2 linked regions of the Sus scrofa genome follow. The protein of the gene in region 2 purifies or fractionates together with the protein of the main gene of each other region. This does not show direct contact. Links are inferred from orthologs where the notes say so. Each region holds a gene or a part of one and is shown on either strand. Other genes may lie near its edges.

Region 1 (3,653 bases), on a different chromosome or scaffold from region 2:
AGGTATGTATTTCTTCTGACTTTATTAAAATATCTATTAACATTTGTAAGAGATGTTTATGGGTTGACTTTATCCTTTTCAAGAGGCCATGTTCACTAATTGCTGAGTTTTATACATATTACAGCAAGTCTTTTTGTAAGTGTGTGTTGCATCCATCTAGATGCTTTGAGATGGTCATGTATTGTCTTTAAATTTGCATTGGTAGCTTTTTTTTGTTAAACCAAAACATGTGATATCTGTTAAGATTTTCTGCTCTTTGCATTATCTAGGAAATATATCCTGGACAGTTCCAGCCATCTCTCTGTCACAAATTCATAGCCTTGTCAGATAAGGAAGGAAAACTGCTTCGCAACTATACTCAGAACATAGATACACTGGAACAGGTTGCAGGAATCCAGAGGATAATCCAGTGTCATGGTTAGTAAACTTCAGAATTGCTTTCTCTGTTAGTTGTTTATAGGAAAAATTAGGGTTAGAAAGTAGGCTGCCATCCAGGAGTGGAGGTGAAATTAAGGAAAGTAGAGGGCAAAAATATGAAACCAGAAGTATTGATTGGCCTTGACACTTAATTGTCAAGATATTAATGTGCTTTTGGATTTCAAGATGCAGCAGTTTCATACACTAAATTCTTTTAAATAGCCTTTATGGATTACAGAAGGAATTTTAGATATGAATAGAAAAAAAATGACTTGGTGGGGGCTGTGGAGGCTGCACCTGTGGCTGTGGAAGTTCCTGGGCCAGGAACTTAACCTCAGTTGAGGCGACATCACATCTGTTAAGGTTAACCTCTGTGTCAAGAGTTGCAACTGTCCAACATGACGTCTTTACGAAACCCAAGGAACTGCTGGGTAGTTCAGATTTTTAGGATTCAGAAATTGGAAGATTTTAAATAGATCATTTTGTTAAGTATGTAAACTGTTTCCAAAACACAACTGTTAAATTAATACAATTGTTATCTTCCAAATCTGCAGGAGTTGGTATCTTATTTATTTTTTTTGTCTTTTTAGGGTCGCACTCATGGCATATGGAGGTTCCCAGGCTAGAGGTCTAATTGGGAACCAGCCTACACCAGAGCCACAGCAACGTGGGATCCAAGCCACATCTGCAACCTACACCACAGCTCATGGCAACGCCGGATCCTTTACCCACTGAGCGAGGCCAGGGATTGAACCTGCAACCTCACGGTTCCTAGTCGGATTTGTTTCTGCTGCACCACAATGGGAACTCAGTATATTTTATTAAAAAGAGTAGCTTTAGGAAGCATTATTACATCGATGTCTCTTCTGTGAAGTCTCAACATTTCTAAATTCTTTAGCTTTTCTGGTATTAAACTTTATGTTATAACCTTTATTTAAGAAATGAGAAAATTCCTTTAATAAAGCAAAGATGTTTGTTGTTTTTAGGTTCCTTTGCAACAGCATCTTGCCTGATTTGTAAATATAAAGTTGACTGTGAAGCTGTACGAGGAGATATTTTTAATCAGGTAATTATCACCCATATTTTAGGAATCATGAATGTCTCTTTTGCCTCCAGATCTTTTTTTTTTTTTTTTTTTTTTTTTTTTTTTTTTTCCCTGAAAGTATTGATGTGGTACAGAAACATCCAGGAAGATGTTGTTAGTTACTATTGGGGATTCTAGTGAAATACACAAAAAAACCTTTTAATACCTGTGTTGAACACATTGTTCCATAGTGTCTCTCAAAATGATGAAATTGGCTAATATATAAGCCTAGAATAAAAATTTAGATAAGTGAGCTGTTACATATTACATTTTTCTCCTTACTGTCCTTTTTTCATGTCTGTCAGATTTAGAACCTTAAATTAGTTGTGGTAATCTTTTAAAACATTAAAAAGTATTTTGGCTCACTGCCAAAAAAAATTTGAGGAAAATATAGCAAAGAATAAAAACCATCAAGACATTAAAATTTATGTCTTAGCTTATTTCTTAAGCTAGCTGCATATATAATCATATAATTACAAGGGTAGCATATTAAAATGGAGTCATTTTACAGACTTGTTTTTTTGTTTTTTTATTGTTTTTTTGCCATTTCTTGGGCTGCTCCCGCAGCATATGGAGGTTCCCAGGCTAGGAGTCTAATTGGAGCTGTAGCTACCCGCCTACACCAGAGCCACAGCAATGCGGGATCCGAGCCACGTCTGCAACCTACGCCACAGCTCACGGCAATGCCAGCTCACTGAGCAAGGGCAGGGATCGAACCCGCAACCTCACGGTTCCTAGTTGGATTCGTTAACCACTGCGCCACAACGGGAACTCCACTTTACACACTTATTTTGTAAAAGATTAAATCTAGAGTTCCCTGGTGGCCTAGTGGTCAAGGATCAGCATTGTCACTGCTGTGGCATTGATTTGTTCTCTGGCCTGGGAGCTTCAGCATCATGCTCCAGGTGCTTCCAAAAAAAAAAAAAAGATTCATGTTGTATGTACGTATACATACATATACATGCTACTTTTTCTTCTTTATATGAGTTGACTCTTGAATATCAAATGTAGGTCTACACAGATAATTAGGATAGCAGCATACATAGATAATAGCAAAATGGCATTTCATTGTATGCTAATAAATGTGTCATTGATAGTATCCAGTTTTCCCTGTTGTTTATCCACAGCTTTTCTGTCATCTTTGATAATTTCGAAATGCATTCTTGGGAAGTCTGGAAATGTTGACTCTTTCTAACTTGGGCTTGCCCTTCTCTTTCCCACCTCAATCAAAATCTGGAACATGCAGGTGGTTCCTCGATGTCCTAGGTGCCCAGCTGATGAACCACTTGCTATCATGAAACCAGAGATTGTCTTTTTTGGTGAAAATTTACCAGAGCAGTTTCATAGAGCCATGAAGTATGACAAAGATGAAGTTGATCTTCTCATTGTTATTGGGTCTTCCCTGAAAGTAAGACCAGTAGCACTAATTCCAAGTAAGTTGATGATTTTTCAGAGAACCATTTATATATATATTTTCATGGGTTGTAGGTGTGTGTAGTAGACCCCAGTGATCTTACTGTTTCTTGGTAAAGAGCCAGGCTTTGACATTCTTGTTCGTGAAGATTGGTTAATCTGACATTCAATGGGGGGAAGAAGGCTTTCAAAACAGAATAATAAAGGGACAGAGTTTAATCCCCCCCCCCCCCCAGTCTTCTTTTGGGCTTCACTAGCAGCATGTGGAAGTTCCCAGGCTAGGGGTCGAATCAGTAGCTGCCAGCCTGTAGCACACCACAGCAACTCGGGATCTGAGCCATGTCTGCAACCTACACCACAGCTCACAGCAACACCTGATCCCGGACTTACTGAGCAAGGCCAAGGATCAACCTGCATCCTCATGGATACTAGTCAGATTGGTTTCTGCTTTGCCATGACGGGAACTCCTCAACTTAAACTTTTCAATGGAATGTGTTTTTAACGTGGCAGGAGTTAGTGTCAAATAAATTTATATACACTTTTGAAACAGGTTAAAAATGTGTATTTTTAGTCTTAATTTGAATTTAGCTATTGATCTTTCAAATTTGATTGATTTTTGGTCCAGTAAGTTCAAATGTGTAGCTTCATACATTTGTAATGTACTCATGTAAGATAGAATGTTGGAACTCAAAGTGATTGGTTTTGGTAAGAAGATGAGTCCTTGTCATAATCATGATAT
Region 2 (2,524 bases):
GCCTGGCAGCATGCCTGTGTTCCAGCACAGAGCCTGAGTGCAGAAATGGCCCTGGCTGGGGAGCCTGAATATTCCAGAACCGGTCCAGAACAAGGCAGAAGGTGGAGTAGGGCAAGAAGGAAAGGAATCCTGAGCTCCAGTGGACCTAAAAATCTATGGCTCAGTAGCAATGGAACGGGCAAAGGGCTCCAGGAAGTGGCCAAGCCCATAGTGGGGAGGATTTATGCCCTGGTTCTGTCAGTTTGGGAACCCCCAGTGCCATCTTGGGGGAAGGCTTTGGATGGTGTGGGTGTGGGAGGAAAGAACGGATCAGCCAGGACCATTTTCAGACAATCCCCTCTCTGAGCCCCCTCCCAGATCCCAGGATCTAAGAGTCTTGGCGGCTCCGGAAGTCAGAGCCAGCCCCTGGGCTCCCTCAGATTAGAGCACCTGGTGGGACCTGGCTGCTGAGGGCATGAGTGTGGCAGCAGGGGTGAGAGCAGGGCCAGGAGCAGGGCTGGGGTGGTGGCTGGCTGGCTCGGTGTGAGTGCAGGGAGCCTCCAGTCCAGGGACTACATTTCAGGGGGCAGGGGGACTGGAAGGGGAGGTCTCAGGGACACTGTGGAGAGAAGGCTCCCGGTACATGGCCACTGTGAAGGGGAGAGAGAGGAGCAGGAAGGAGAGTTAGGTGCTGAGAGACCTCTGAAAGGGCTCCCTTCCCCTATACTCATCCTCTGGGAACCCCAGCCCACACCAGACAGCTCCCCAAACCCCCAAAGGCCAAAGCCTTCCTGACTTGATGTGTCCTAACAGGTGTCCTCTTCAAACACGTACAGCCCCTGAACTGCAGCGGGGGGGTGGGGGGAGGGGGTGTCACTGCACGTCCATGTCAAGGTCAATGCCCTCCCATGTGGCCCACCTCTTCCTGCAGGGTCCGTACTCACCTTCCAGGAGCTTGGGCACAAAGTGGGCGGCTGCCTTGGTCTTCTTGACTCGATTGCCTTTCATGACTCGGCCCTCTTTGTCCAGGCCCAGGTACCAGGCCCGGCCAGAACGGCGCTGGCGGTAGAGAGCAGAGGCGTACAGGACATAGTAATTCTCAAAGACGCACTCCTTAAAGCGACACTCAGCTGTGAAATGTGGCTGAGGAGACAAAGACCCAGAAAGGCACACACGGACAGAGAGACAAAGACACATCACTGCACAGAAGGAGCCCTGGGAAGAACAAGCCAGGATATAGTTGGTACATGTCAGGCTGGGAGGGCCGACTGCTGAGTCCATGCAGGAACTGGGAGGAAGGGCAGACAAGGGAGAGCCTGGTCCGCCCCGGATGGCTGGGAACTCTAGACTTCTGGGGGCCTGGAATCAGAAGAGAGTGTGTCTCTCTTCTACTCCCAGCCTCTCTCCAGCCAGAGGACCTGGAGGGAATTCCTACTTGGAGGCATTCCTGAATTCCTCCCCAATAATCAGAATGCCTCTGGGGAAGGAAGAACCAGGTCGAGGGGAGGCAGGTTGGGACACGGGGGTCCTGAAAGGTCAACAGAGTTGGACATTCAAAGAGCCTGGGGGTATCGGGGGAGCTGTTCAAGAAAAGGAACCAACCGGAAGGACCCTGGAGGAGATGCCCGGGTGGAGGCAGTGAGGACAGGGCGTCAGCAAGAGCTGGAGGGAGTGGAAACTCTGAGCTGCAAAGTATCTGGCGTTGAGAAGGCGGTAGCTAGGACGGTCCCCAAACCCCAGGCCACTCAGCCTCCTTGTCTCACCGAGCTGTAGAGAAGCCCCTCAGCATTCATGGCCATGTAGTGACCCAGCTTGGCACTCTGAATGGTGACCACACGGAGCCCCACGGGGATCAAGTTGAAGTGGGCTGAGGGTGGAGAGAGTGGGCATCAGTACCTAGGGGCCCCCAGCCCCCCTCTGAGCCCCGCTTCCGGGTCCAGTTCCACTTCCTCCCCTGGGGCGGGGGGGGGGGGGAAGGGGGGGGAAGAGCCGGACTAAAAAGAACAGAACCTGAAGCAGGCATAGGATTTGGCATCGCCAGGCCCGCACTCCCCCATCCCGCCCAGCAGCCGGCTTCCCTTCTTACTGAAAGAGCTGGTGTCCTCTGGGGTGCCCTGGATGCTCCCGTCGGGATTCGCCTGGAGGTAGAACCCCTGGCGGCAGAACAGTTTGGTGACGATGCCTTTGAGCTGAGGCTCTGGAGGGAGAGACATGCATCTTGGAACATGACATCTCTGTTCCCAGAAAGATGCCTACACTTGGCGGGATCGGAGGAGAGCGAGAAAGCACAGAGGGAAGGAAGAGGGTCCCAGGGCCCCAGCTCGCTGACTCGCCAAGCAAGCTCTCTCTCCTCCCTCTCTCTCCTCTTTTGACTCCAGAGGAAGCTAGGGTGTGGGTCCCTTTGGCTTCCTCTCACCACCAGCTTTCAGTTTAACGTATTGAAATTTATTTAAAGGCTTAATTCTTACTCTACAGCTCAACCAGAAGTGGGGGAGGGGAGAAAGGAAGAGGAAGGGGAGAGCTACATCCAAAGGCAGAGAACAGC

What was found.
Region 1: the proteins of FGF11 (region 2) and SIRT1 purify together in Homo sapiens (affinity purification with mass spectrometry; 3 studies listed by BioGRID and IntAct, with this or other methods). This does not show direct contact. The link is inferred for Sus scrofa from reciprocal best matches to the Homo sapiens genes FGF11 and SIRT1.

What each region holds. Positions count from the first base shown.
Region 1 is NC_010456.5:71,111,551-71,115,203, forward strand, and holds part of SIRT1 (NAD-dependent protein deacetylase sirtuin-1), read left to right. Parts: intron 1-269; coding exon 270-417; intron 418-1,403; coding exon 1,404-1,483; intron 1,484-2,747; coding exon 2,748-2,934; intron 2,935-3,653. UniProt on the Homo sapiens protein: NAD-dependent protein deacetylase that links transcriptional regulation directly to intracellular energetics and participates in the coordination of several separated cellular functions such as cell cycle, response to DNA damage, metabolism, apoptosis and autophagy.
Region 2 is NC_010454.4:52,744,978-52,747,501, reverse strand, and holds part of FGF11 (fibroblast growth factor 11), read right to left. Parts: intron 2,177-2,524; coding exon 2,066-2,176; intron 1,847-2,065; coding exon 1,743-1,846; intron 1,123-1,742; coding exon 924-1,122; intron 630-923; coding exon 559-629; 3' UTR 1-558.